5 linked regions of the Kluyveromyces lactis genome follow. The protein of the gene in region 1 purifies or fractionates together with the protein of each later gene. This does not show direct contact. Links are inferred from orthologs where the notes say so. Each region holds a gene or a part of one and is shown in the gene's direction. Other genes may lie near its edges.

The links.
Region 2: the proteins of MRPL19 (region 1) and MRP7 purify together in Saccharomyces cerevisiae (affinity purification with mass spectrometry; 3 studies listed by BioGRID). This does not show direct contact. The link is inferred for Kluyveromyces lactis from reciprocal best matches to the Saccharomyces cerevisiae genes MRPL19 and MRP7.
Region 3: the proteins of MRPL19 (region 1) and MRPL35 purify together in Saccharomyces cerevisiae (affinity purification with mass spectrometry; 3 studies listed by BioGRID). This does not show direct contact. The link is inferred for Kluyveromyces lactis from reciprocal best matches to the Saccharomyces cerevisiae genes MRPL19 and MRPL35.
Region 4: the proteins of MRPL19 (region 1) and MRPL3 purify together in Saccharomyces cerevisiae (affinity purification with mass spectrometry; 3 studies listed by BioGRID). This does not show direct contact. The link is inferred for Kluyveromyces lactis from reciprocal best matches to the Saccharomyces cerevisiae genes MRPL19 and MRPL3.
Region 5: the proteins of MRPL19 (region 1) and MHR1 purify together in Saccharomyces cerevisiae (affinity purification with mass spectrometry; 3 studies listed by BioGRID). This does not show direct contact. The link is inferred for Kluyveromyces lactis from reciprocal best matches to the Saccharomyces cerevisiae genes MRPL19 and MHR1.

The regions. Positions count from the first base shown.
Region 1 is NC_006040.1:713,988-719,573, forward strand, and holds MRPL19 (mitochondrial 54S ribosomal protein uL11m), read left to right. Parts: upstream 1-3,282; coding exon 3,283-3,732; downstream 3,733-5,586. Other genes in the region: serine/threonine protein kinase NPR1, read left to right, coding at 486-2,810; ubiquitin-specific protease UBP10, read right to left, coding at 4,059-5,586.
Region 2 is NC_006042.1:1,137,853-1,144,385, reverse strand, and holds MRP7 (mitochondrial 54S ribosomal protein bL27m), read left to right. Parts: upstream 1-2,780; coding exon 2,781-3,875; downstream 3,876-6,533. Other genes in the region: GCN1 (Gcn1p), read left to right, coding at 1-792; SGF29 (Sgf29p), read right to left, coding at 1,411-2,151; ILV6 (acetolactate synthase regulatory subunit), read right to left, coding at 4,145-5,029; isocitrate dehydrogenase (NADP(+)) IDP3, read right to left, coding at 5,531-6,533. UniProt on the Saccharomyces cerevisiae protein: Component of the mitochondrial ribosome (mitoribosome), a dedicated translation machinery responsible for the synthesis of mitochondrial genome-encoded proteins, including at least some of the essential transmembrane subunits of the mitochondrial respiratory chain.
Region 3 is NC_006040.1:1,117,507-1,124,042, forward strand, and holds MRPL35 (mitochondrial 54S ribosomal protein mL38), read left to right. Parts: upstream 1-3,438; coding exon 3,439-4,530; downstream 4,531-6,536. Other genes in the region: KLLA0_D13068g (M1 family metallopeptidase), read right to left, coding at 1-2,356; KLLA0_D13079g (uncharacterized protein), read right to left, coding at 2,648-2,914; TIM11 (F1F0 ATP synthase subunit e), read right to left, coding at 5,163-5,453; type 2C protein phosphatase PTC7, read left to right, coding at 6,288-6,536. UniProt on the Saccharomyces cerevisiae protein: Component of the mitochondrial ribosome (mitoribosome), a dedicated translation machinery responsible for the synthesis of mitochondrial genome-encoded proteins, including at least some of the essential transmembrane subunits of the mitochondrial respiratory chain.
Region 4 is NC_006041.1:683,487-689,669, reverse strand, and holds MRPL3 (mitochondrial 54S ribosomal protein mL44), read left to right. Parts: upstream 1-1,280; coding exon 1,281-2,228; downstream 2,229-6,183. Other genes in the region: MSS1 (Mss1p), read right to left, coding at 1-936; KLLA0_E07613g (uncharacterized protein), read left to right, coding at 2,452-3,060; PEX12 (ubiquitin-protein ligase peroxin 12), read right to left, coding at 3,111-4,106; fructose-bisphosphate aldolase FBA1, read right to left, coding at 4,487-5,572. UniProt on the Saccharomyces cerevisiae protein: Component of the mitochondrial ribosome (mitoribosome), a dedicated translation machinery responsible for the synthesis of mitochondrial genome-encoded proteins, including at least some of the essential transmembrane subunits of the mitochondrial respiratory chain.
Region 5 is NC_006039.1:891,865-897,880, reverse strand, and holds MHR1 (mitochondrial 54S ribosomal protein mL67), read left to right. Parts: upstream 1-3,285; coding exon 3,286-3,945; downstream 3,946-6,016. Other genes in the region: HDA2 (Hda2p), read right to left, coding at 1-525; GTPase-activating protein NEL1, read right to left, coding at 871-2,859; SUR2 (sphingosine hydroxylase), read left to right, coding at 4,822-5,841. UniProt on the Saccharomyces cerevisiae protein: Component of the mitochondrial ribosome (mitoribosome), a dedicated translation machinery responsible for the synthesis of mitochondrial genome-encoded proteins, including at least some of the essential transmembrane subunits of the mitochondrial respiratory chain.

The DNA.
Region 1 (5,586 bases):
ATCCGTCCTTAAAGGAAAAAAAAATTTGAATTTATATATTATTAAAACAAAACATAATAGACCGCAAGCATCCAGACAGTAGGTTTTCTCCAATTCTTTCAGATTCCTACCCTTACCTATTCGCTTAGCAGTTGGCTGTAAATAGTTCTACTTCCAACAACACGCTTCATTTCTCCAGTTTAGCACGTTTCTGCTACAGGGTGAGTTTTCGGTACGGAAAAGAAAGACATAGAGTTCCCCTTTAGTGCCACTGCTCAGGATAAATTCGGTATTACAAAACAAAACTGCAGAAGAACTTTCTGAAAGGGATTGATAGACCTGCTTCATATTGTGTTGTATACAAAGGAATAGAATTATAAAGTAGCTACTCGGTGTTTTTACGAGGATATCAGTTTTTTAGAATCGATAATTAGAGTTAATCAGGCTCTGATATCGATATCGACAAAGCAAAATAATTAGAACCAGACCACAACGTTATTGGAACAATGTCATCGTTAACTAAACTGTTACAAGAAAAAAGAAATCAGGAACCTTCGTCAAAGTCCGCTCTAACGAGTTCTTTGAAAGGTTCCTTGGCAGAATCAAGAAACTCCAATTCACAGTCTCATGCTGGACATCCAAACGGAACCGTGGTATCCAGCCCGATGGAAATAAGGGATGGTGCTGGTGGTAGTGATACAACCGTAACACAGGTTGATTCAAATGACGATGGATCTCTGGAAGCGTCATATGAGTTTTCTCAATCTTTTGTCAATGCTAATTCAGCTCATACTGCAACCATGTACGGCTCTTCGGTGCCAAACAGATCTCGCTCGGGCTCCATCCTTATTTCAAGCGGGAAATTCCCACAAGATACCAACGGAAGAGGTGTACCAGGAAGACTTGGTACAAGTATTGGGAGACACACCACTTCGACAAGTGTCATTTCGAACAATTTACCATCGCTTTCATCTAGTATACCATACTCGGCACCAAATTCCAATACAACAAACGACTCAACTGTTAATAGTGCCGAATCCTCTGCATCTTCCTCGTGGCTGGATAAGCATGGGTCGTTGCCCAGTAATATAGCTGCCATCGACTCAAACGTGATCTCTTCGCCAAAAGTTGAATCTGTGGAGCCCAGATTTGTCATTTCAAAACAGAAACTACAACAGAAATCAAATATGAATCATGACACCGGTAAGCCAGTGTCAAGATCGAGTTCGTTATCCTCACAGCTAGGAAGTTTTTTCTTTTCGAAAAACAAGGATAATGAACCGAGTTTAGTAGCCTCTTCGTATGGCGCTGGCGTCTCTCAGACCAATAACTACTACAACAACTCCAACTCCAATAGTAACACGAATTCCAACAATAACAACAACAGCAGTGCAATCCCTTCCTCCTCGACGAGCCATGGTTCATCCATTCCAAAACCCATTAGGGCTAGAGCATCGTCCATTTACAATTCATCAAGACAACCTACTGCCTCATATAATGAGCATGTTTTGGGGTCTCCGCAATCATTGCATGAAAACCTCTCTCAGAATCAATATACTCCAAAATCTCGTCACAGCTCCGTTGCTGATTTGAAGAGATTCTTTAAAAAACACGGTAACTCCTCCGCTTCATACAGTGAGTCTCCACCAATCAGTGCTAACTTTTCAAATGCAAGCGGTGCAAGTGCAGGATTTGCGCCTGGATCATTGGGATCCAATGACGTTGTGTACGCTGCTTCGCATGTACCTGCATTACCATTCAGTAAACGTTACCTTAAAACTGGGGAAAATTTGGGTGCCGGTGCCGGTGGTTCCGTTAGATTAATGAAAAGGATCAGTGATAACCAAGTCTTTGCTGTAAAAGAATTCAGACCAAAGTTTGAACACGAAAGTAAGCGTGATTATGTGAAGAAAATTACTTCTGAATACTGTATTGGTACAACTTTACGTCATCCAAACATCATATCCACTATTGAAATTGTTTACGAAAACAACAGGATCTTCCAAGTCATGGAGTATTGTGATTATGACCTTTTCGCCATCGTCATGAGTAATAAGATGTCGTATGAAGAAATCTGTTGTTGTTTCAAGCAAATCTTGACCGGTGTAGAATATTTACACAGTATTGGTCTGGCGCATCGTGATATGAAGTTGGACAACTGTGTAATAAACAACCAGGGTATAGTGAAGTTGATTGACTTCGGTGCTGCAGAAGTCTTCTCCTACCCCCACTCAAAAACTTTAATCGAGTCAAGTGGCATTGTTGGAAGTGATCCATATTTGGCTCCCGAAGTTTGTATATTTACCAAGTATGACCCAAGACCTGTTGATATATGGTCCGTTGCCATTTTGTTTGCATGTATGGTATTAAAGAAATTCCCATGGAAGATACCTAAGTTAAAGGATAATTCCTTCAAATTCTTCTGTTCGGGAAGAGACTGCGATTCCTTGAGTGCTTTAGTCACAAAAACACCTAAACCGCCAAGTTATGACAATGCCGTCCAATCTGATGAGCCAGCTGAGAGCACATCTAAATCGAACAACCCATCTGATCCAAACAACACGAATATTGGTCCTCAAAGACTACTTCATTCCTTACCGGAAGAGACCCACCACATTATCGGTAGGATGGTAGACTTGGCTCCTGCTTGTAGAGCCAATATTGAAGAAGTATTAAATGACCCTTGGATTCAATCCATTGACATGTGCACCGTTGAAGTAGACAACCAAGGTAACTACGTCGTGCACCCTGGAATGGACCACAAACATACCCAAGTTGATCAAAGCGAAGCCCACATTGCTGGTCTTGAAAAGAAAAAAAAGGCAAAATAAATTAAGAGAGAGAGTAAAACTAGCAATCCGGCTGAGGTATGTTCTACAGCATGTTTTATCAAATAAGAGTAACTCTTCTGAGACGACATAGACTTCTAATTGTTGTGCAATCGTTATAAATTATCTCTCCTGTAAAAGTACACAAATGTATAAAATATTTAAGAACAATTCTTGGCATTCTCATAAAATTAATGCTTTATAACGTTAGCAACCTTTGGCATGAAGTCGGTACACATCGCAGCATATGGTTCTATTTAGCAGACAATGAATTGTGCTTATTAGAAAGTGTATAATGGAAAACAATGTGCGGGTAATAACTTCAAAATTTTCTTTGGCCTAAAAAATTCTTGGAGATATGCCAGATTATAAGCTGGTAAAAATCGATGGCTTAAAGTAAGATGTGCATTCAATCCGATCAATTGCCTCGAACAAAATATCGAAACAGTAAGTCCAGGAAGCGCCAAACAGGACCATGTCGAAGGTTCTTAAGAACGTGATAGTCAAACTTATTGTCGGAGCAGGTCAAGCTGCGCCTTCTCCTCCAGTTGGTCCAGCTTTAGGGTCTAAAGGTATTAAAGCTATTGATTTCTGTAAAGAGTTCAATGCCAGAACAGCAAACTTCCAACCGGGTACTCCGATTCCAGTACTCATCAATATCAAACCAGATAGAACATTTTCGTTTGAAATGAAAAGCCCTCCTACTGGATATCTTTTATTGAAGGCATTAAGTCTTGAGAAGGGACACGGACAACCAAATATCAGTAACCCTGATAATGTATGTGGTGAACTGTCGTTAAAACATATATATGAGATCGCCAAGATCAAGAAGACCGATGGAAGACACGCTGCTCTGGAACTTGAAGGAATCGTAAAGTCTATTATCGGTGTTGCTAAGAGTATGGGTATTAAGGTAGTTCCATAAACTGACTTTTTTTTCACTAATCAAAGCATCGATTTGTGAAATAGTGAAGGTCTCGATGGAGAGTTTCATTCCAACTGGTTTATTAGCATTTGTAGACCTCATTTCGTGTACATAAAATAGAATAATGAAAAGATAAAATTATAATAATATATCAACTACTATAGATGAAGATGTATATGATGATCCAAATGAACTGAAACCGAAGTGAAAAAAGATGAACTGAAGTCAGTGTGAGGTAGATGCATGTATGACTGTTTACAAAGAAAGAATGAACAAGGATGCAAGTGTATTGTAAGCCGGTAGTTTAAGGAAAGGGTTATTCAAACTTATGGGGAAATCCTTCTCTTCTTGTTTTTTTTCTTATTCTTACGTTTAGAGTTGTTCTGCGATGATGAGTGTGAAGATGGAGGTCTTTGCAATTGCGGAATACCTAGATCAGTAGATTTATTGGAAGATTGAGAGGAAAGTGGGACCGATTTTGGTGTAAGTCTAGTGTACACTAAGAAGTACGCGTTTGGCTCTTTCAAAAGCTGTTTTTCTGAAATTTTATTGATGTATTCGTCGTCATATGTGGCCCAACTTCCATCTGGTTGCTTACAATGTGCGATATAATGACCGCTAGATAAAGATCGCCCTTCATGCACAACGACACTAATTAGTTGGTATCTTACGGGTAAGGAGCTGATTGATTCATGGCAGTATTCCGTTAGATCTAAAAACATTGGATAAGATACGGCCTGCTTCATTTTGGATGAAGATGTGCCATTAAATCTGAACTTTTTTAAATGAACCACTAGAGTCTCTGGAGCACGAATAATCTTGTTTGACTTTAGCGCGTTAGTAACTTTCTTACATTTCTCACATGTATACCCTTCTTTGTTGTCCACTCTTTTGATTAACTCAGGATTGAAGAAATCCCGAATAGATTTTTCAATTGAAAACCTTCTCTTTGAAGATTGCTGTTGATCAACAGAGTTATCAATTGAATTATCTTGACCAACAGAGTTTTGATCTTGATCAGTTGTCTTTCTACCCTTTAAATGCAATGAAAGATCGTATATAGGTTGTTCAGTGGTTGAAATCTCACCACAGTTACTGCATTTAACTGATTGTTGTAGTAATCCACCGAATACATCGTAAATGATGGATTCTGTCATTTTATGGCCCTTAGGAACCGAGTCCTCTTGTAAACGTGACATTAAAGACATAAAATATTCGTGAGAGTCCTCTTGGTTCCAAGCGCTCATCATACAGTTAATGTCTTCCAACGCATTGATTAATTTATCAGGATTAATGTACGTATTTTTAGTTGAGTCAGAAGACCACATTCTCATCGTAGTTTCCGCTAATAACATGGAAACACAGTTAGACTTAACGGTGTCCTTGAAATTTCCACGTAGTAATTGAAATAAATAGTGTTGAATTGCTGGAATATGAACCATGGCTTGCACAGCAGCGTTTGTGTAACATGTGACACCATGGTTGAGTAAACCCCTTGGTTTCAGCTGGGTCAACTTAGAGCCCCAATTCTTAACTATCCTCTGTGGTTTATTAGAACCATGGTCATTAATCGACTCGTTAAATTGGTAGAAGCTTGACTTGTCCTGAAGAGTGGTAGGAGGGGTAGGTGATAGAGGTTGTGGAGATTTGTGCTTCAATTCTTCATCCTCTTCCTCTTCTTCGCCATTTTCCTCTTCTTCAGGTTTGCTCTCAGAAGCAGCCGCAGTTGAAGATGAAGACACTCCTTTGAACTGACAAGAAGAAGCAGCAGCATGTTCAGTAGCCTCCAATTTGAGTTCTTCCTTTTCCTCTGCAGAAACATCCTCGTCATTCTCGTCATCCTCGTCTTCTGCT
Region 2 (6,533 bases), on another chromosome or scaffold:
GAGGAAGCTGCAACAATATTGAAAAGCAAGGTGTTAGAAAGCTCCTTGACTGAAGATTCTGGTAAATTCGGTATTTTGACCCTAAACTCATTCTTGAAAGATGCTCCATCACATGTTTTTGGCACTGGACTAATTGATGAATGTGTTAACTACATAATTGATGCAACAAACTCATCAAATGCTTACTTCAGTGATAATGGATTACTCGCAATTGGTAAGACTCTATTATTAGAAGGCGAAACAAGAACACCTTATTCCAAACTTGATGCTAGTGAACCTTTCCATCTTGGCACAGACAATATCAACAGCCTAGTTTCTCAACTTGCTAAGTGTATGTTGAAACCTAACAGTAATTCTCTAGACAGTAGAAGATTGGCTTTGGTCGTGGTAAGAACGCTTGCAAGATTTAAGTACGCTGAAACTATCGAAAACAACTACGATTTACTCGCTCCATCTGTTTTCTCGTGCTTGCGTGACACAGTGATCCCAATTAAGTTGGCTGCAGAAAAGGCATACTTAGCCATGTTCCATCTTGTTGAAGAAGAAAACTTGGAAACCTTCACTTCCTGGTTCTCGAAACTCGAAGGATCCACCATACAAAACAGTATTGGTGACACTTTGCAACTAAGATCCTTAGGAGATTACACCAAGAGAGTTGGTAAGAGACTAGCTGCTGTTGAAAGAGACAAGATTGCAGCCGGTGGAGATGCCGAGGCGATGTTCTCTGATAGATTTGAAGATGAAAATGAAATCTGGACCGTTGGTGGTGTTGAGCTAAACACTGATATTTAGAACAACAGCACAAACCCAACCTCTGTAATGACAAACATAATATTATACAGATTTATATATCTCACTGACTTGTAAGAGACACTTACAAAATTATTACTGCAAAGCAATCACGATTTACTAGATGTACTTTGAAATGGTGACTTAAACTTGTTCATGTGGAACCTGAAGTCTCTCTGAATCAATATAATCAATCAACCTCCATACCCATTGTTCTACTATCGAATACTTCTGCCACCAAAAGATACATACATCTTTGTTCGCTGGGCAGGTGGTTAATATCCGGAATAATAAAGGCAAAATTGGAGCCTTCATCAGTTTTAGAACCAGATTCACTAACAATAGCACAAAACACAGTTTTGTTATTGATTTAAGTGTCACTTTGTTAAAAAGGTACACCATGAATCATATACAAAATATTCGACAATAAGAAACTAGAACTATGGTATTTAATGTCTGTCGCGTCTGATGCGATAAATCACAAACAGGCACCGCTACTAGTTCCTACATTATCTCAATGTGATACGGTTTATTTAATGTTCTTTCATAATTTTTTTTTCTTTATTGTTACAGGCTATGGAAAATTACATACATTTCGTGAACGTGATATAATTAAGAAACTCATCGTCTAGAGGGGAAAGGAAGAACTAATCTTCTTTCCACCTCAGTCTCCTTGTCTATTTCCTCTTCACCGTCGAATCGTAGCTTACATGTCCCATCTCTTTTGCTTCCGCAAACAATAGCTGGATAGAAAGTCGTTGTTTCTGGATATCTTGCCAAAACTTTTGTATTCGCTGGATAATTCGGAGTCTGGGTTCTTTTCATAGTCACGGGCGGGATCAAGAGGATCTCTTTCGAGTTACATTTGAATATACCACCTGGTTTCCCAAATTCATCGGGTTCTGGATCTTTCACTTCAAACCGGAGTCCGTCCCCAGAAACTTTTGTGCATATGCACTGGATCCATTCGCCAGTCTTTTTAGATTTATATGCAACTTCGGAACCAACCTCAATTGGTTCACTTGGGTTGAATTGACTGGTCCAATGTGATCTACCAACAACACTCGATTCAGGGATATGCGTCGAACTGGATTCCTCCTTTAATATAGGTTCCTCTTCCACTGGATAATTATCTAATATGTATGAAATGTTCTCTACCAAATCTCTGCAGTAATTTCTCATCTTTTCATTTACAGACTGACGAGCCTCTAATTTCTCATGGATATCAGCCAATTGATTCAAATTCATATTCTGGAAATTCATATTCTTCGGATCTAAAGACTCAAACCCCGCAATATCTCCTATTTTATATAGATCTTGTAATTGAGTCACGGCAAGACCCCATCTATCTTCCGTTGCCATTTTCGCTAGAATCACTGATATATTTTGTTTTATTTTTTTTTTATCTATGGGCTGTCGGTTCTTAGTATTCCTATTTCAATTAGATAATATGGGCTTCACCAGCACGATAATTAATTTGGGAAACTTCTATAAATGGACGTCCTGTTTATTCAAACGTAAATCTGAAAGGTGAAGACTTCTTTTCGATGCAAGCAGTGTCGGTTTCTTGATGTTTTGTACTTAGAGAAATATGAGTTTTTCGTGCTGGAAGAGAACATCAAAACGTATATAGTGATGGTAGATCTTTAATTGGAACCTCAGTTTCGAATAACTTTGACGTGAATTAGACGTTTACTCCTTCTCAAGCATGAAAAATTCACTATGGTATCGAAAGAACTCTCAGCAATAGATGAAATTGGTAAAATGTATAAATCAATACTTTCAACTCTTAAACAGTCAGTTACACGAACCTTCGAAGGGCTATATCTTGTTGGATTTCGTTGTTACCCTACCTTACAATCCGCCATACTGTGGAAAATTTTTGTCACTAAAATCCTATCTTAAATACATTAAGTACAGATACACGCAGAAATACAGTTACTGTGACATTGCTTGATACTGTTCGGACCAGGCCTACGAAACAACGCATAATGTTCTCATCTTCGTGGCAACAAGTTCCCAAGTTTGTGGTGCAGCAGGTGCGTACTGCAACCAAGCGTGCAGCAGGTTCTCGTACCAGTATGAAGGACTCTGCTGGTCGTAGATTGGGTCCAAAAAAATACGAGGGTCAAGCCACTCAAGTTGGTGAGATCATCATGAGACAACGTGGTACCAAGTTTTATCCTGGTGAAAATGTAGGCATCGGTAAAGATCATACGCTTTTCGCTTTGGAGCCGGGTTATGTGAGATACTATTTGGATCCATTTCATCCAGGTAAGAAATTCATTGGTGTATCATTATACAAGGATGTAAAGCTTCCTTTGCCGCATTTCGAACCACGTTTGAGAAGATTCGGCAAGGCCATCATTGAGGATGAAGAGAAAGCCATTGCAGAAGAGAACGCTTTACCAAGAAAGATTTATTTGCTGAAGGATGAATTGATCAAGAAACAGCAAGAACGTGAGATTAAACGTGAAGAGTTGAAGGCAGAATACAGCAAGATAATTTCAGATCTGAAAGTTGAGCTGGATCAACAAGAACTTGCGTTTGCATTACCATATTTGCTCAGATGGAGAACTTGTTTGAAGAATGGGTTCAATGAATCCGATGCCCGATTTAATTCGTACTACTATTTGGAACAAGAACTTAAATTGAAGATGAGAAACCAAGAAAAATCTAAGTTGGACGACAAACTAACATTGTTGAAACAGGTCTCGACCAAATTGAATGAATCATTGTCATTTAACAACAAGCTTGAATTAACTAAATACATTTCTCCAGAAGAAAAGAATACTCTAAAGACACAACTAATTACTGATTTGAAGGCAATTGATATTAAGGACAAGAACAGTAAGAAGCAAGTACTAGCCAAGTTTACTGATGCAAAGAACTTCTTGACGTTATCTGAAGAGGTGAGACTACGCAGAAAATTCTTGAAGCCAGTGAAACCAGAAACAGAATTGAAGAAATTGGAAGAACCACTCAAACCTTCCAAGAAAAATCTAACCACCAGACGTTACAACTACGAACAAAACACGATAGATGTCATTACAAGACCAAAGACCGATTTCTTGAGCAAATTGTAAATCTTCCCCAAGTCGTTACGTAACAAACCATTTAGAGCCTTGTACATATTAACAAAAGAACCACAACAATCATCATAGTTTAAACTGAAAAAAACGAAAGTTTTTTAGAGACTATATATCATTTGGAAAGGTTAATTCCATATTATATCGTTAACGTATTTAATTTGTCTATATGTGTGAGACAAAATCCAAAACATACTCTTACATTACTATTTTTTTGATATTGGATTGTTTTGAGGTACAAAACTATGGCAGGTGAGCCCTTTGGATCAACCAGGAGGCAATTGAGAGATATCAACGATGTCATTCATCTTGCTTTGAGCATCATCTTCATCACCGACAGATAAATGGGTTCTTGGTAGAGCCATCATACCTGATCTTGCCACTTCCAAGATACCGAAAGGTTCCACAAGTTTCAAGAATGCAGAGATACGGGATGGTTTAGCACATAATTCCACAATACAACTTTGTTCAGCGATATCAACAATCTTACCACCAAAGTTACCAGTCAAGTTAGAGATGTCGTTTAAATGTTCATGCTTCAATCTCAATACTTGGGACAGTGGAAGGTTGGAAGGATGGAATTGCTGTTGTCTTATTCTTTCAACGGTATCAGTATTTTCATCTTGTTCATGGTGATGAATCAAATCCTCGAAGTATTCAGCACCCAACAAAGAGATTCTTGTCATCAACAATTCTCTTTCTATGATGGTGGAATGAGAGTAATCCAACACGACAAATACTGGTACCAAATCTTCGATTTGTCTTCTGGCTTGTTCGATGACACCGTCTTGACCTTGCAACACAATGGTCATACGGGATAAATCTTTCACTTCAGTGTTACAGACCACAAGGGAATCGATATTGAAGCCTCTTGCAGCTAGAGTACCTGAGACTAACGATAGAACACCTGGCTCGTTTTGAACCAAACAGTTCAAAACATGTTGTTTCTTTGGCTCCTTTGAGATTACTGGATTTTCATATAGGATCGATGAGATGGCACTGTTAGTAGACCAAGATGGAGTTTCGATCGTTGGTAAAGGAGGTCTTGCCTTATTTCTATGCAGTTGCTTATAAGCAAGAGCCGAAGTCGAAGAAGACTTTGCTCTGGCAAAGCTTCTCAATGCTAGAGGAACCACTCTAGTTTTTAGCATTGCTTAAAGAAGGTTTTCGACTGAGTTCGTTAACCTTTCAGTGGAACAGAGACGAAGTGTAACCAAGAAAGAATATACACAGTGGAAACAGATATAAAAACCCACTTATAACTTATATATATGGGGAAAGTAGAACAAAAGCAGATGAGAGAAGTGCTTCATAGAAGGATGGAACGGTGGATCAAAGGTTTGAATGGTGTAGCTGAGTCATATTGAGAGTGAAAAAAAAAAATTCTTTTTCCAATTCAGGTCATCGCGAACGAGCGAAACAGGGCCGAAACGGTATAAACTGGATTGATAAACTGGACACCTTTGTCCAGATGCTTACTCGTGATGTGGACCAACGGAGGTTAATTGATATTCTCTTAATTCTCCTGGCTACGGATGGGGTGTCAGTTCTATGGGGGAAGAAGATATATAAATATTGTTTTTAAGGCTATATATCTTATGGATATATAATGTAGCAGTAAATCGGATAGGGAAAGGCTAGCTTTCTTCTTCCTAGTTGAATGATGATTTAAATTCGGAGTCCAATCTCTTGTGAACAGCTTCAATGAACTCTTCGGTAGTGACGTATGAGGATCTGTCGGTCTTACCCAAGATCAATGCCAAATCTTTAGTCATAATTTCATCTTCTTGAACCGTGTTGACGGTAGCAGATTCCACCAATTCGGCGAATTTCACCACATCTGGGGTGCTATCCAACTTACCCCTTTGGATCAAGCCTCTGGTCCAAGCGAAAATCGAGGCGATCGAGTTTGTCGAGGTTTCTTTACCCTGTTGGTGTTGTCTGTAATGTCTAGTGACGGTACCATGAGCAGCTTCACTTTCGAAGGCCTTACCATCTGGAGTAATCAACACAGAAGTCATTAGACCAAGAGAACCGAACCCTTGAGCGACAATATCGGATTCCACATCACCATCGTAATTCTTCATTGCGATGATGTAGCCACCCTTCGATTTCAACATCTGAGCAACCATATCGTCGATCAAACGATGTTCGTACCAGATCCCCTTAGCTTCGAACGCCGATTTGTACTGACTTTCGTATAGCGATTCGAACACGTCCTTGAACTTACCGTCGTATTTCTTCAAGATGGTATTCTTGGTGGTGGAGTAAAGAGGCAAACCTCTTTCCAAAGCCATCTTGAAAGAAGCATGAGCAAACCCAGTGATAGATTCCAAAGTGTTGTACATGGCCATGGCAACACCACCTTTACTCTCTTCATCGAAATCGTAAACGCTCAGTTCGATATTTTCCGTATTCGAGTCATCGCTCTCGAACACCAACTTCAACTTACCTGCTCCTGGAATAACTACGTCAGTGGCCCTGTATTGGTCACCGAAAGCGTGTCTACCAATAATGATTGGTTTTTCCCAGTTGGTCACCAACTTTGGAATTCTTGGAATCACAATTGGTTCACGGAACACGGTACCACCTAGGATATTTCTAATGGTACCGTTTGGAGATTTCCACATCTTTTTCAATTTGAATTCCTCGACA
Region 3 (6,536 bases), about 400 kb from region 1:
AATTGGACCCGAGGGAGGTCGCTAGGAACTGAACGTCCATAGGTTCAATAATTAATAGTAGATTTAGGACGGTATCGAATAATTCCGCATTTTTAATCTTACCCAAGGCCGTCAACAAACTTTCCTTGTAAACTAATGTTGATGTATTCAATTCCTCTAGGATAGTCTTTAGTGTTTCCTTTGTTGTGTCCGGCTGGGACAAAATTATTTGCAATAAAACGTTTCTAAAGACCGGAGAATAAGATTTCGATTCAAACATTTCTCTACATTTGGCAACAGTTTCAGGATGAGAGGCAGTACCAGCACCAAGAGCCATCAATTCAAAGAACTGGTTGCTTAGGAAATTATCGGGATTTTTACTGAAAGAATTTGTTTTCTGCTGGTCTAGAAATTCCAATAGCTTTTCGATGGATGGTTGAATTAAATCCAGAGTGAAATTATCCAACGCCTTTTTCACTGCTTTATCAGAGGATAAAAGTGATTTCATCCTGTTTAACGTATCGAAGATAATTGACCATACATAGTAGTCGTTAGGATCCTGATGATTGGTAAACTTTGATATCAAGGTTAGAAGATTTTTGACACATTCTGTTACTTCAACATCAGAGATTAGGCCCATCTTGCCTCTTGATGAAAGTTTATCCAAATTTTGTAATTGTTGTTGAAACAAATGATCAGAATCGTACTTGACTCGGTAAAAGCCAAATGAATTGGCATTGAAATGGTTGAATTGTGTCTTTGGTAACTCTGTGGTCTTTCCTGAAAAGTCCACCTTGTAATCACCCTGGAGTGGCATCAAAGGCACCCACCACTTTGTAACATCTTCATCAGGTTTGCAAGTACCAGTGGATAAGAACCTGTTTTGGGTCAAACTCAAACCAATTTCAGACTCTGTCACAGTGACCAATGGGTATCCAATAGTCAAAATCCAGTTCTTACAACGTTCCAGTACTTCTATATCAGCGACTTCACCAATACAGTTGAACAAATCTTCCATTGTTGCGTTTGAGAACTTGTTTCTCTTCAAGTATAAAGCAACACCTTTCAAAAAGAGTTCTTGTCCTAAATAACCGCTTACCATTTCGAGAATAGAACAACCCTTCAAATACGAGATGGAATCGAATACCTGATCTATATCTTTAGCGTTACGAACCGCTACTTTTATAGGATGTGATTCTTTCAAGGAGTCCAATTCAAGAGCTACTTCATGCGATTGCAACATGATCATGGATGGGACATCCCAATCTGGGAAGAATTTTTCAACAGCCAAGTATCCGATCCAGGTAGCAAAACCTTCATTTAACCATAATTCATCCCACCACTTCATCGTTACAAGATTTCCAAACCATTGATGGGCAATTTCATGCGATACAACATATGCGATCTTTTGTAAAGCAGCAGCATCAGGTTCATCTAAGTTACCGTCGTACAACAACGCAGACGGTCTAAAGGTGATCAACGAAAAGTTTTCCATGGCATTATGAGAATAAGTCTCGACACATAGCAAATCTAATTTTGGCAATGGGTATGGAATTTCAAAAGATTCAGAGAAGAAATCAATGACTCTCTTGGCTACATCAAGTGCAAATTTCCCCTGTTGAGCTTTTCCCTTGGCTGTGTACACTTTCACCGGTAGCTTACCACAACCAGAAGAAGTGCCATCCTGTGTATTGTAGTTCTCAATGGTAGGATATATACTCTTTTCGGTCTCAGATTCAATGTAGTCGTATTCTCCCACGGCCCATGCCACTAGATAAGTAGACATTAATGGTGTAGTATGGAATCTATAAGAAATTTGGTCTGATTCTGTCAATTTCTTCGTGCACTTCAGAGGCATATTAGCTAACACAGTGTATTTCTCATGCGCGATAATGCATATGTCAAAGGTTGCCTTCAAAGAGGGTTCATCGAAACATGGGAATGCTCTGCGAGCATCCGTTGCCTCGAACTGAGTGGAAAACATTACCTTATTTTCACCGGTAACAAAATCAGTATAATCTGAACGGTAGAATCCAGACATATTAGTCTGAATCATACCCTTATAATCGATCTTCAACACGAATTCATCATCAGATATACTCTCCGGAAATTTCAAGGAAACAACATCGTTCTCTAAATCGAAACTATGGTCCTTCATTCCCAAAGACACAGACCCCTCTTTCAGTTCAACCACCGCAGAAACGATCTCAATGTCCCTCATATTCAATGAAATCATGTCATTGGCATTAACAGTGGACATAATAATACGCACGGATCCGATAAATGAATTGTGCTCAGCATCTAACTCACTCAATTCAATCTCATAATGGTTGGCCCTAAAGTCGGTTGGTAGAGTTTGAATCTTAACGTCAGCCATCTTTCAGTGAATCAGGTATAAACTATTCCAATACCTAATTGGTTCTCTGGATATATCACCCCAGTTGTCTTATATAGTGAAAAATCCAATATGAAATCAAAGAGTAGGTGTCATTCAAAGCTTTATCAAAGGTCTTAAGTGTTATCAATCTGTTTTCGTCAATGTGTCAAAATTTTTTTCTACCTTCCCTGCTGAAAAGCTCAGAAGTGAGCGTAGAAATTTTGATATAAGACGGAGTAGTATGAAAAGAGAAGCTCCTCCATTATCCAGCAGCACAACTGCTCATACGTTTCACCTCTTGTGTAGTTTTGGCAGTAGTTTCTTTGACCTATTAAACATTTTGCGCAGTATTGAAGAAGACCGTCTCTTTAGCTGATCTCCGACATCAGAGTCAATTGAGTCGCTTATATCAGAATCGGAGCTGAACATAGAGGGAAAAGCTCTCTCTGTTGGAGTTTGTGTATCAAACTGCGAGTAAACTTGAAGTTTAGATATTAGTATGGTAACTGCCTCGACATCGTGCCTTAACTCTGTAGAATTCGGTTCTGAACCGTTCATATTTGATTTAATAAGCTTTTGAATATTATACAGGATAATACAGGGAATGAGAAGTAAACCTACAATGCTGATTGGCAAAGGGTCTTTATACCAGGAAAAAGTTGAGGCATCTTGTCTTTACAGATCTGAAACAATGTCGCGATGAGCATTCTCATATAAGATTCGTCGTTTCAAACATAAATGATCATTATAATCCGCATATAGGAAAGGGAAGAAGAAAATATACAAAGAAAGATGGATATGATGGGTTCGCTGGATCAGAAGAGCGTCATTTGCAACATATGAAACCGAATGGCAGTCTCAAAGGCAAAGCTTACCAGTTATTGATCTCTGAACTTCCACTTGGAGCGAGAGGCACGATCTTCTGTTACCCGGACTGAAACACATTAAAATTTTTTGGTGAAAAATCGATTTCGAACGATTCAGATGAGTTTTAAGTATGAACGGACAATGAAGATACATGAATAATCAGTTGTAGGATCCCATTGGAGGGTGTTTCAGAGACTAACAACTCGAATTGGAGAATGTTGCGTAGAGGGTTGCACAGCAGTGCCAAATGTTTAGAGAAAACCGGGGTATGGTCGGACTTTTCTAAGAGATCCAAGTCGCTTGGTTTAGCATCAGAATCGATTAAGAAATACATCTTTCAAGGCGACAGCGATGACGTTAGAAGACGAGGTCCACCGTCTTTGAAGCGGAGGATGAACCGTTTGAAGTATACCTCTCCTGAACATATTGATGAGATGTTCCGCTTGAGTTATGAGTTTATGAGTAAGCGCGCTGAAGAGAAGTATTCGCAACTAGAAAATGAGACTGATGCCAAGGTACGTGCTAAGTTAGAAACAGAGGCTGAATTGCATAACCCAGAGGTCCAATACAATTTTCAGTATCATGACAAGTTAGAGAACGATACTAGAGTGATAGATTATGCTGTTCCAGTGTACAGGCGTTTGGGGCTGAAGCATTGGGAATCCTACGAAAAAATGTTGTTAATGCAAAGACTAGAGACTTTGAGTGTAATCCCCGATACGTTACCTACTTTACAACCAAGAGTACAGGTTAATTTACGTTTCCCATTCAGTACTGGTGTGAACAAATGGGTTGAACCTGGTGAAATTTTGTCCTCCAACACGACTTCGATGGTTCCAACAATTAAGATTCAAGAGTACGAGAACGGTATCGACTTCGAAAAGCAAAAATACACTGTGGTAATTGTGAATCCAGATGAACCGGATGTGTTGAATGATACATTCAAGACGACTTTGGCGTTCGGTTTGACTAATTTAAAGATAGACTATAACGACAACGTGGTAGATCCAAGAAAATACAATGAATCGCAGATTCTTGCAGATTACATTCCTCCAGTACCTGAGAAAAATGTTGGCAAGCAAAGGTTCTCTGTATGGGTATTCAGACAGAATGGTGATTTGGAATCCCCTGAACCAGTCGATAGAGAAAACTTCGATATTAGAGAATTTGTTCGTTCCCACAACTTGGACCCGGTTGGTGCTCATGTTTGGAGATCAGAATGGGATTCTAACGTGGCAAACATTAGAGAGAAATACGGATTACCAGAAGGGAGAGTGTTCCATAGAGTTCGTAGATCTGTTGTATGAAAAAAAAAATGAAAGTTTCCAGAAAGAGTTTATTTCCTCCTCGTCTCTCTCGCGATATATATGATTACACACTTTTCAACAACCTCAGGTGGTCTGAATAATATCTCATACCTCATGTAAATAATATGCAATGTAGAAAATCAATGCAACATACGCAAATCATAAAAAAAACTAAAAAGCTTGTTCGAATCTATTAAGAATATGATCATTAGTTAACATTTATTCCCGGTAACATAATAAATTATATAGTAATAATACGGTGTATGGTGCGTGCGTTCATGTGCGTCTGTTTTTTTGGACTGCCTCTGATTGAATATTTTCCTAGAGGCTATATATAGAATCTTCTTTTTTTTTGGCTGTTTCTTCTTCATATGTTATTGTATTGGCTGTAAATCTAATCGTAACAAAAAAAAGGATTCGTGAGGTCTTTCGTTCTTAGTCGAGGAAAGCAGATATAACTCTTGTTGTCATCATTTCTTGTTGACTACCAGAATTCAAACAGAGAATACAACCTTTTATTTTTCTATTATGCTTCAGCTCGGAGTTATGCATACAAGTTCCTTTCCCTTGTTACACAAAAGAGAAAAAAGAAGAATTAAACACACCTCTCCTTATTTCATAAGTCCTGTTGCTTATTGCTTCAAGGATTCAACAGCGCTCAAGATGACCGAAGCATAATCCAAGTTAGGGTCCTCCAAATCAATCTTGGCAGAAGAACCAGCAGTAGCAGCCTTAATTTCCTTCTTTGGTGGGTGCAACTTGGCGTATTCTGCCTTGGCTTGTTCCACTAATTTCAATTGAGCGTGCAATTGGTTTTGTTCTTCTTGCTTTTGAGCTTCTGACTTCAAAGACAAGTCAGTCTTGAAACCGGCAACAACACCTAGAGCTAAAGCAGAGTATCTCAAAACGTTTAAAGTAGACATAACTGTGTTTAGTTTTTTTTTTCCTTTAGCTTCAAGACTTCCAAAGAAATGTTTAAAATCCAAGAATAAGCACAAGTTAACTAGCAATGATTAATGTCATCATTTAGACCTTGTTCCTCTCTACGGAATGAGCGATCTGAGTTTGATAATTTTTTTTCAGTTGCAATAAGCTTGTAAATCACTGTCAACGATGTAATTTTATTGGCTATCGTGGAAAATGACATCAACAACCCTTTAAAGTTTAACCAGATCCAAGCATCTCATCCTTTAAATGGAATGGCGGAGAGAGGGAGATTAAACACTGTTTTATGGGGTAATTCCTGGATGTTGAGGTGTAAATGTAGAGCAGTAACTACAAGAGTTAATATGTTATTGTCTGTCGACTTAATTTACATATACTAGAGGGAGCAAGGTTGGATCACGTGACACATTCTTTCCATAACTGGGTTCCCAACAAGAGCTTAGGGCTGCATATGGAAATGGCCGGAAATATATGTCCGTGTTAATCACTCACTCAGGTTGCCGCTGGTCATCTTATGCGTGCAAACGGTAAATCACGTGATATACACTTGGAAAGTAGCAAGTGCGGACTCCTCACTCACTCAACGCAAGACTAGAGGGAGCTAGTTGCAGTTAATCCAATGGACTGTAGATAGTCCTTCTTCTTTCCGGATAATATATCTCATCTTATCTCAATTAAGGTTCTCACGAATTTTTCAATATCAACTTAAAATCTTGGAGTTTAGACCGATTTGACTGAGGAAACGCTTCAAACACAGCTCGAGCATCTCGCCAACGCAGTCACCAGAAACAGTTTTCTCACCGTGAATCGCCATGTTTATCGGAATCCGCCAACATGTTCCTCGTACAGTTTTCAGAAGTATGGTACCTGTTCTATTCGCTTTCACATTATACGTTTTACTAACAGTGTTCGATCTAGACTATAAAACATTGAGCCAACGGAGTTTCAGTTCCTCGGCAGGTTCCAACAATTCAAATTCATGGTCTTCCTCCTCATCTTCTTCATATTCTGCTTCATCTGATGCCTTCAATTACCAAGTAGCAATCGCATATCAACCTAAA
Region 4 (6,183 bases), on another chromosome or scaffold:
TGCCGTGTCAGTCAAGATACATTTAAAACCGTTAATGTCCATCATTACATCGATAGAGTCTCTTGTGGTGCCCGGTATATCACTGACAATCGCAACGTCGTCTTGAGATATTTCGTTAACTAATGATGACTTCCCGGAATTTGGTTCACCCAACAATGTTAACTTTATCCCATCGTTCAAGACAGCCATTCTATCTAATTTCACCATGAATCGAGTCACTTTTTTGTATAGTTGTAAAAGTTTATCATTGGCACCATTCACTATAGAATCGATATCTTCCGTTTCGATATCTTCACCAAAATCAATAATTGCAGTTAGTTTAGCGATCTGCTCTATAATCTCTTGTCGCCATTCATGGAAAATGTCTACGGTCTGATTGCCATGCAATGCAGACAATCGCTGTAATTCTGTATCTGAATGAATCATATTGTTGATACTTTCAAGCTTCAACAAATCCATTTTCCCATTCTGGAAAGCTCGTCGACTGAATTCTCCCGGCATCGCCATACGAATATCTCTTTCAGAGTCCCGCAAACCCTGGATTGAGTTTAACGCTGCCTTTATAATAGCTTTCCCCCCATGTAGATGCAATTCCACTAAATCTTCACCTGTAAAGGTCCGTGGTTGTGGGAAGTACAAGACTAACGCTTCATCTATCAGAGTTGATGCCTTGGGATCATATAATGACCGAATCATCGGTTTCCTCTGCCGTAGCGGTTTTTTTGGCGACAATTTTTTTAAGATATACTTTGAATGTGTACCCGATATCCTAATTATAGCTATTGCAGAGTGCTGATTTGATGGCGTTGATAATGCATACACTGTAGGATGGAAAAATGTCGCTGGAACACTATAAAACCGTCGCAACATTGGGCTGAACATCACTTTTTGCGAAAAATTGAACCAAATGAGAGTGGGATCCTTGTAGACTACCATTACGATTCCAACTGCAATTTATGGTAGTTTAGAATAGTCTGTAAATATGTTTAGCTACCGATTCATCGACAATCCATAGCATAAGTGCGCCGTATCAGAAAGAATCTGGAATAATGAGATGTCTGTGAAAACATATTATTATCACGTGACTACTCGGAAAACATCAACAGTCTACTATATCCGGGTAATTGCAGATCTCAGTATCGAAATATTGAAAAAAAATTTTAGTGAAAGAGTTACAGAGAGAGGATGGAAAGAAGTTGAGTGATGCAGTGAGCTATTGGTGAGGTTTGCCATTGATATATACAGCAATCAACATCACCATCGAGGGGGGTTAAAGAAGGATGTCTGTTTTGAAGCTATTGAACCCTGTGCGAGTGCGAGGATTTGCTTCTTGTGCCAGGTTGTACCAATCAGAACTGTCATCATTGAAAGAATATAAGAATACCATCAGTACACTGTTAAAGAACCCTGCACATGAACTAACAAGCCCCAATTTAGTTGCACTCCATTCCAGATTAAGATTGCCTCAAGGCTTATCCTATTCTCTTTTGTCCAGATGTTTGACGTGTCGTTCTAGTGGGGAAGTGAACTATGACAATGTCAGTTTGAACATTTTTGGTAAGAGTCTTTTAACTTTGGCAGTTACATCCGAGCTAATGAAAAAATATCCTAGGCTACCGGGTGTGGTTTTGAATGCTGCTGTGGATGCATATATTAACGACCATGTTTTGAGCAATGTCGGTCGTTCCTGGGGTATAGAACCGGAAACTCAAAGTGTAGTGGATAGATATGCAAAGAAAGAAAATGTTACCATTACATTGGGTAAACTACGTTATTTCCAAAATTCCGTAGATGAATTGCATAACTTCACTGAGAACAATGCTATGGCAGTTGCCGTAAGGAGTATATTCGCCGCTGTATACAGTGTCGACAAAGATTTCAACCAGACACATAAGTTTATCGCAGATCATATTTTGTCCAGAAAGCTGGACGTTAAAGATTTGTTCGCGTTCGAACAACCAACCAGAGAACTGGCAGCTTTGTGCCGTCGCCAAGGATTGGAAAGACCGGTATCGAAACTACTTGCAGAAAACGGTAGATTGTCTAAATCACCCTTGTTCATCGTTGGCGTTTTCAGTGGTGAAGAGAAATTAGGCGAGGGTTACGGTTCATCTTTGAAAGAAGCTAAAGCCAGAGCCGCTACAGACGCTTTGTTGAAATGGTACTGTTACGAACCAGTGCATGGCCAACAGAATGTCGTTATTGACCAAGGCGAAGTGTTAGTATAGACAGGCCGCATCAGCAATGTATGTTTTCCACATAATCCTTTTCAGTTGAGATCAACTTTTAAAGATTTCTTTCCCTGTAAATATAATATACAAATACATAATAGTAATTCATACACTGTTGTACTCGAACGAAATAAAAAAGGAGGTTGTACGAAACTTAGTTGTGTCTTGAGGCCTTGCCTTATTTATAGCTAGATCCTGTTCTGCATTATTTGATCAAGATATGGATTTGAAGGAGGAAGTTCTGCTGCAAGTTAATTCGACGATCATTGAAAGTAAAGGAGGTCCGTTACTATTTATCCTTGTATTGGAAAATGAAATAGCATCACAGTGTTTTCTGTGTGATGGAGTTGGAAACGTTGATACGAAGCTCAGCCTTTTCAGCTGGAAATCCTCTGATCCAATTGGAATCCTAATGGTTGACCCGGACATTTACGATTACGATGACATGTTACAGTCGTTGAATTCGAAACAATACATTATTAAATCCAAGTTCCATTACTTCCCTGAAACTAGCAATTTGATACAATGGCATGAGAGTGTACGATATCCTTATAAGCTAATCAACTGTGGAGTAGAAATTCAGGATGATCATTCCGATTTAAAACTATTAAAACGTGATTTAAAAGATCATTTGGATAGGATGATTCAATATCTTGAAGATAATGATAGACCAAGCGATGAAATCTTGAAAGAAATTTGGTTATTAAAGCTAAGATACAGTAGAACATCGGCTCCAGACTTAGATTCAGAAATCTCTAGGCTGGAATCTGATATAATGATGATGCAAACGATGTTCAATCAAATGGAAACCAATGCAGAATTATTCTAATGCTACTGGCTCAATTATTCTCATTATTCATTTACTAAATTAATGCAAAACTATATTAATAACTTACGGATGCGTTTATCTATGGGCACACCAGTCGCGAAACATGTATTTTCTGTGCTTACCCATTTCTTGGCACACTCTAAATTAGCGACATATCCAGATGAAATCATGGCAGGTTCTGTTATTTCTTCGCCGCATAGGGGACATACGTCAGTCGTATCATTGTTATCCACCTCTGATGCTACGCCAGGTAGTACTGGAGGTTTTGGTCTCTTTACTCGTATCTCTTTCTTGAATAATTCAGGCCGCTGATTGATAATTTGTAAAATTCTGATCATCACTAGGAAGCTCGGGAATAACTTGTCCAAGAACATGGTCGATGTGCTCTCCACTGCATCCTTGGTCATAGCTAATATTCTGGGTAAATTAGTTCTTTTACGACGACGTTCAGAAAGAGTTAAAGTATTTTTCCTACTTGCAATTCCTTCTTCGGGTTCTTGGTATCGTTGGTATCTTATTTGTGTTATGAAATGGATCATATCAGTGTCTTTTGAATGACGCAAGTACTTTAATTTGAAACAGAAATTTATCACTTTGATAGTCTTCTGTAGCTTAGGATAATAGGCATCAAACCATTGTTGCCATGAGCTCAATTCTGGGCTCGTCAATTTTCTGGACTGCAAGAGCTCATGGTATTGTTCACAGATATCACTAACGTATTCGAATAAACAGTCATTCAACCAAATTCCTAGAAAGGTTAATTTAGGGAATCTAGAAAACCTTTTCAATCCATAGAACTTGTCAAGAATTGTGGCACCTGTTGTTTTATAATGTCTGTATTCAACCAAAGATTTAATCACCAAGATTATGAAGTCAAATTTATTAAAAATCTTCAACAGCCATCGTGTTGGTCCTCTATATTGGAGATAAATGGAGAAAATATACCTTAAAGTTGGTTTGATTAACTTCTTCACTTCATTGACAGAGAGTATTTCGAATAAAGTCGGTTGTTGTAAATTCACCGGGAGATTGGAGTAAAAATCCATCGCTTTGAGTCCTCCCTGTTTCTTGTATTTGTTTCTGGAGTTGTAATTGTGTTAAGGGACTATGAACGTGACTTTGTTTGATTGTAACTGTTCCTATGTTTTTTAACTCTGCTTTCATATTTAAGCCAAACTGGACTATGAGACAAAGTCGATCACGTGAGAGAAAAAGACAAATGCAGTTCGATAACAGGTAAGTCCTCGGTAGCGTCCAAGGATAACACTGGTGAACGTATCCGATGCACAGCGGATCCCTGCCAATCATTTTGTAACTAATGGTTCAGATGTCTTCATTTGATCATTTCATGCGTTCTGGTATTTAAATTGTATATAGAAAATTATAAGTTAAATTGTTTGGGATAATGGTACTAAACAAAAGAACTTTATTCCAAAGCACCCTTAGTACGGAAGATTTCCAAAGCTTGAGTGATTCTCTTGCTCATGGTCTTTTCACCTTCTCTAACCCAGACTCTTGGGTCGTAGTACTTCTTGTTTGGAGAGTCTTCACCGGTTGGGTTACCGACTGGGGTCATCAAGTAGTCCTTCTTGTTCAAGACGTAGTCTCTGATACCGGACAAGTAAGCGAATTGACAGTCAGTATCCAAGTTGACCTTTACGACACCGAAATCGATGGCAGTATGGAAGTCCTTGGTGGAGGAACCGGAACCACCGTGGAAGACCAAGTACAATGGCTTGTCTTCTGCCTTCTTGTTTAATTGCTTAGCAGCGTAGTCTTGGAAAGTACCCAACAATTCTGGTTTTAGGGCAGCGGCGATCTTGTAAACACCGTGGACGTTACCGAAGGCACTGGCAATGGAGAAGTTTGGAGAGATCTTGGACAAAGCTTCGTGGACAGAGAAAACAGTTTCTGGAGTGGTGTAAAGTTTGTCGTTAGAAGTACCTTCGTTGTTGACACCATCTTCTTCACCACCGGTGATACCGATTTCCATTTCCAACCATTGGTGGATCTTGGCCATTCTGGTGAAGTATTTGACACATAGACCAATGTTTTCCTCATCAGTTTCTTCGGACAAATCCAACATGTGGGAGGAGAACAATGGTTCACCGTGCTTAGCGAAGTATTCTTCGTCAGCCTTTAGCATACCATCGAACCATGGTAGCAACTTCTTAGCACAATGATCGGTGTGTAGAACAACTGGGATACCGTAAGCTGGAGCAATGGATCTGATGTAGTGAGCAGCAGCGATAGAACCTCTGATAGAAGCATTTTGGCCTTCGTTGGAAACACCCTTACCAGCAAAGTAAGCAGCACCACCGTTGGAAGTTTGCAAAATGATTGGAGATTTGTTGTCTCTAGCAGCTTCCAAAGCAGCAACAACAGTGGAAGAAGAGGTCACGTTGATAGCTGGAATGGCAAACTTGTGTTCCTTAGCGTAGTCGAACAAAGCCTTGACATCGTCACCGACAATGACACCGGTCTTTCTGGTCAATACGTCTTGAGCTGGCATTGTAATTTCTTTTACGTGTTGTGGGTTTTTTGGTTTAATTCGTATTAAGTTTAAATTATAAAGTACTTCAAAATTAAGGTTTAATTTTTGGTACTATTGGTTATAAGTCAAACGAAACTTGGATTGGTTTTTGGATGATGGTTTTGTATACACAAGATATAATTGAATATAAACAACTACTGATAGATATTAAAACGAATTATCAAGATTTGGGAAGTATGCAATTCATTGTTCTTATTATATATGAATTGAATGGAGGAAAAATTCACGAACAACCTTTTTTTCCATATTATGATACTGATCAATTTAGAAGAAGATAGACGGAAGAAGATAATTATCCAGACAGAACATCACTCAGAAAAGAGGGATAAAGATGATGATATGAAGAGAGCTTGCGACAGGTGTTCCAACTGCCACTGCACTATCTAGGCAATCAGGCCGGGCAAAACTGCCAATTTCTAGAAACACGTATGTTGGTTGGTGTGATTATACATCGCTCAATTGCATCGCAAAGTGGGTTTTGAGAATATCATGTGGCAGTTATTGCTAGTCTTTGTCAGTTGCGTTGAGTAGATCAGCTTATTGCACGTTCTCACTGCGACTAAGGCGAA
Region 5 (6,016 bases), on another chromosome or scaffold:
ATGTTTTTCGTCAAACAAAGAAGTTCCAGATAACCTCTTCAACTTTGCAACTTTTCCCAACATGACGCCTTCAATCAAATCCAATTCTTTCACAGAATGTGAAATGATAGCAACTTGCAATGGCCTCGATTTGTCCTTACGATTCAATAAAAGATCAACCATTAGATTTAACTTGCCAAATTTATCGCTGGTGTATATCAACCTTTCAGTTGGTTCCATTAACAAAAACTGTCTAGGCATATAATGCTCAACTAACAGGCAAGGGTGATTCGAGACAGCTCTTATATTTTCGAAGAACCATTCAGTTAACTGAACATCTGTTAATGCAGTCATACTCAAGTCTCTTTTGAGATTTGTCCCTTTTTTTTCTAATTTAGATTGTAGTTCTGGCAGTAGACGTTTATCTACACATGAGACAAACGACTCTGCATGTATCGAGATTAAAATTTCCAACAAATCTTTCTGAACTTGAGTTAGGCCAACAGGTATATAAAATACCTGAGTCCGGTTGGAAGTGGAGTTCATCTTTCTTTCCCTAATGAAACGACCCAATGGCTCGCGCTTGCAGTTTCTCTTTCTTTTCCTCTGGACTCTGGCTTTTAATGTGCTATTCGGAAAGAATGGTTAGATTTAATTATATAGTATCTTTTAAAAAATGAAATATGTCATTTTTGAAAAGCGACAGATGGAGAAACCAAGGAATACGTACATAGTATCTTTTCCTGCCATACAATTGTTATTCAAAGGGGGAGCGATAGATTCGAAGGTTGCGACAGTAAATGGGGAACTATTCTAACCTTTTGGTTTTGGTTATATATATATAGAGTTCATGATATCTGTTGAGAGGTAAAATGAATGATTACATACTTTTCATGCAGTACTTTTTGATTTAAACAGTGCCATGTATTTATCAAGCGTGAGGTCATCAGAATGCAAAGAATGTTCTGCAGTTAAGCCTAGTCGTGCAATTACAAATCTATCCTGACTAGCACCTGGCTTGGTTTCTCGATACCAAGGCTTTGGAAATCGACTTCCATCGTGGTATATGGTATCAGCAGCTGCCTTCAAACTGTCAACTCTGCTATCTCCTACTGAAGTATCTCGTACCACAAGGACGTTACCACCATCTACCAATAAAGGTTCGGCATAATTAAGGATGTCAGTTGTATTTTGAATAAGCCCTGTGGTCGAATACACTTGGGGTCTAACCATCTTGAATATATGACTTAAAGGGGAATTCAGAATTGTCCAATGGTAGACGATCCACTCGTCAGGCGATGTATTTCTCTTCCTTAAGAGAGTTGATCTTTGCATAAAGTACGTTACTTCTTGTAAGGATTTAATGCCAGGAACATCGATGGCATTCAATGATTTAAGAAGTTTTACTATTTCTAACGTCCACCACCTTAGATCGTAATCATAAAACTTGCCTTGAAACAAGACAGCGAAAGATATTTTTTTCATTATGGATCCAGCCATTATATCCCAGTGGAAATTTTGGGTTAAAAGATGTTCACCTGGTAAGGTTGTACTGGGAATAAATTTCGTTTCTACAGAAACGTATTCTTGATTCAAGTGTTTATAGTAGCATTCCATTTGAAAGGAAAATTTATCTGGCATTTCTTGCAAGGCTTCAGCAGCGCTGCGAGATGTATCAACAGATAAACTTATCAAAATTGATGGTAGATTACTACTTGGCCCTTTGTAACGGAAGGTTCCAGACCCTCCAAAGCCCTTTGGAGTGTCAGATACATGTGTGTCCTTGTCTTTCAAGGATGAGACTGGACCAAAGATCCCATTCAGTAATAGCTTGTTAGAAGTTTTGATAACAATTCTGGTTATTTCATAACATCCTTTCCCTTGAATATACGCCTGCCAATCATATATGAAATTTCTATCATTGAAGGATTCGTATTGAATAAAGTTGTTCAAACAGGATCTCATCTCCCATATTCCGACCTGATCCATGGATGCGACGAATACCGTGCATGGAGCAAACTTTAAGGACTTACTCATTTTATTGTAAAATTCTCTAGAAGGTTTCCAATATTTCACATCCTTGTCTTCCTCTATATTTCTATGCTGCCTGATATGATTTTTTCGGTCCATTGAGATAACCTTACCTGGTGCTACTGTACAGGGTCCGAAAACAAATGCAATGGATTGTGATGGGTTTAGACATTGTGCTAGAAAAATAGCGAGTGCAGTGTTTCTTCTACATCTTTTTTTTGACCTAGTCCGTTGACATAGAAGTTCCGCGAGTTTAGCACCGAAAGATATTTGGTCCGTCCAAATCTTCCTCACTAAAAGCCCATACTTTGCAATGAACCATTCTGTGTCAAGCTTCTTAAGATGGCTGATACAACTACTAGATTCTGCATCTACGGTAATGTGTGACCCGTCAGTATGAATAGTGACAGACCCATCTTCAATCGTGATCAGGGCCAATGACTGGACAGAACCAAATTGTAACATCTTCAACGCGTCTAGATTTTCCTCAAATTCACAATTAAGATCGATGATTATGGCGAACTTGGAATGCGTAGGCACAGCAGCAGTTCCTAAATGTTTTAGGTATGACGATGATAATGGAATATTCCCTAGTTCATTATAAGCATTACAAAAAGAACAAAACCACCCAGCTCGTGAATCTCTTGAACATAAAAAATTCGCAAACCCTCCACAGATTTTACAATTGGTATAATTCTCACTGCTTGCTAGGCTTGAATTCCCGTCAATTGTCAAGTCCGGCTCACAAATGGCACTTATCGATCCACGGTTATCATCTCCACAATCGAGAACTCTAGCTAAGCAATCTGTCCGGGACGTAGGAACGGCTCCATAATTCAATTCAAACATCAAGTTCTAGATGGTGGAATATGCGGACACTTGACGGATGAAGGTGATAACTCTACTGTGCGTGTCTGCTGATAGGAAAACCTTTCTCTGGAGATGAGATCCAAGATAAGATAGAGCAGGTAGCGGAGAATTCAATATCATCACAAGATCCGGGTAATGTATATATTAGGTTCATTCTCTTTAATTTTCAGTGTTTCTACGAAGTTGTTTATGGCATCTGAAAAAGCTGAAAAATTTTGAAAAAGAGAAAGCTGATAGTTAGTTTAGCTTGATTACAGAAGAGATCACCACATTTGTGCACACATTGTATTTAAATAACTCTTCAGAAGTCCATCAATAGCACTGGAGATAGAAGAGAACTCTGAGGATCAAGGCTTTTGTTGTTAACAAATAAGGCTTGAAGACACCATAGGGCACTAGGAAGAGATGAGCAAGCATTTAGCTATTACCAAGTTCCGTCCAGCCAACTGGCTACAGAAAGCAGGGTATGCACCACAAGTCTTTTTATTCAGAAACCTAGAGAGTGGACAAGTGCTGTACTCTCAATTCCCGACTTTTTCTTGGAAGCAAATTGATACCAATTTCCAAAGACCCAACTGGGAGAATAAGAAACCAAGCACCAGACGTGATATTTGGAAATGTATGGCTGTTGTTGATCTACCAGACTACGACAAGAGTGTAAAAGTATACCAGAATTTGTGCAGATTAAGATATCTCCGTGATGTGACATTCAGTAAACAGGCAAAAGACATGAGAAAGAAGAATGAGTCCGGCCACACATGGTACTCATCGCAATACAGACCAACATACTCTCAAGAAGCGGTTGCCGATTTGCGAGAATGTCTCCTAAAGTTGAAAGACGTCCAATCGTCCATTAAGGTCCATTGGGAAGACGAATGGAGAATGGGGGATAAAGAGAAATACTGGAACCCAGTATTGCCAGAGTTGAATCACACAACACTAGAACGTTTGGGGAACGTTTCCAGAGAGGAAAGTGCAATTTTGAAAGAACTAGGCGAAAGAGCCAAAGAAGAGTTCGCAAGAGTGAGACAACAGGAGTCAGCTGCTCAAAACATCTCTCTATGAGTTACAAAAGAAAACAAGCAAATACAAACTATTTCCAGTTGCAAAAGCTGAGCCGAGCTCAGATCTTTCACTGCTTCACTCGTCACGTCTTTAAGAAATCACTACATGTACATATATAACCCGCAGACAATCCGACTCTGTAAATAATATAAACAAACCCTCAGCTCACTACCGGCGTTTAACTGATTTGACAAGGTGATTACTAGCAGTTTTCTCCCTTGTTTCCATCATCACGTAACCTAAATATCAAAGGTTCTGTAATCATCATATTACTTCCTCTACTTTTCTACCGCTTCATACCATATGTGTCTCATGCATGCATTAACGCCTAACGGAAGAAGAAGCAGGAACCCGGACACCAAAGAAAAAGCAAAAAAAATGTCACATGACCAAATTTGAGAAACCTTAACACCGTTTCTCTGGTTTTCTCTGGTGTTTCTTTAACGACAATCCTGTTTTCCCTTAGAGGCTTCGGGTTTTTCTTAGTTTTTCTAGCATAACATGGTGTCGAGAATACAGAATTGCGTTATAAATGTATTGCGTTATAAGATCAGTGGTTGTATTTATACGAAGCGTATAGGCTAATGTTGGCATACCAAGCGAAGAAGGCTGCAATAATATTGAAAGGGTAAGGCTTGAGATTAGGTAAAAAGTTATTCTGGAGTTACTGTTTCTTTTTTTTTGATCATACTGAAGAGAGACAGCAACTATATAAAATACGAAGCAAGATACGAAATCAGATACACAAACTGATATTTGCAGTGTCATACAAAACTTATAAGTCCATTTATACTTGAGAGGAGCTGTTTTCTGTCGGATACAGTTCGAGGATAAGGAGATACAATATTTTGCGTGTGCTGTATCGGTTTTATAACTATGGCAAATATTGTTGAAAGTGCAGTGCAGCACTTGTATTTGCAGGTGAAAGATGCTATGGATGTGTCGTTTATGAATTCTAAAGCTCCACCTGCTTCTGTGATAACGAAGAAACAGGATATTTTGCCTTGGATTTCTGATGGGAAACTTGCCTTAGCACTACCTGTTGTTGCTTATTGGCTTTATTCGATGTTTTTCCATTACATTGATACCAATGAGGTTTTCGAACAGTACAGGATTCATCCAAGCGAGGAAGTACAACAGCGGAATAAGGCCTCAAGATTAGAGGTTTTAAAAGAGGTGATATTACAACATTTCATTCAAACATTTACTGGACTTGGTATGCTCTACTTGGATCCTGTGCCGACTTCAGGGTTTGAGAAGTATGAGATGTGGAAATGGAGGCAATCTTTACCCTTTTTCGTACCATCTGTTTTCATCAAGTTTATGTATTGCTATGGATGGTCTATGATAAGGATATTTATTGGGTTTTGTATCGTAGATTCGTGGCAGTATTGGCTGCATAGGGTGATGCATATGAATAAGACACTTTACAAAAAATTCCACTCACGTCATCATAGGTTATATGTTCCTTATGCGTACGGTGCATTGTACAATTCCCCAGTGGAAGGTTTCCTCCTTGACACTTTGGGTACAGGCATTGCTGCAATCGTGACACAATTAAATCATACAGAACAAGTTGTTCTATACACTTTTGCTACTTTGAAAACAGTGGACGATCATTGCGGATATGCTTTGCCCCTGGACCCATTCCAGTGGTTGTTTTCAAATAATGCAGTGTATCACGACATTCACCATCAGTCTTTTGGTATCAAGTCCAATTTTTCTCAACCATTCTTTACCATATGGGATAAGTTTTGTGACACCAAGTATCATGGATTTGAAGAGTATGAGAAAAAACAAAGACGTGTCACCATTGACAAGTACAAGGAGTTTTTGAACAAAAGAAAACTCGAACACCAGGCCAAGTTAAAAGCTATGAAAGAGAAGATGTCATAGTTTTCTTATCTTCTGCATATATCCTACATCAATGTTTCACTTCCAATTGTTTTTTTTTAACGTTTCATTGTTATCTCTTTTCTCCTAGAAAAAGGATCAATCACCGTCATTTTCTTGTGATCACATATGCTTATTAGCATCCTTATAATTGTGATTATCAGTATTACTATTTACT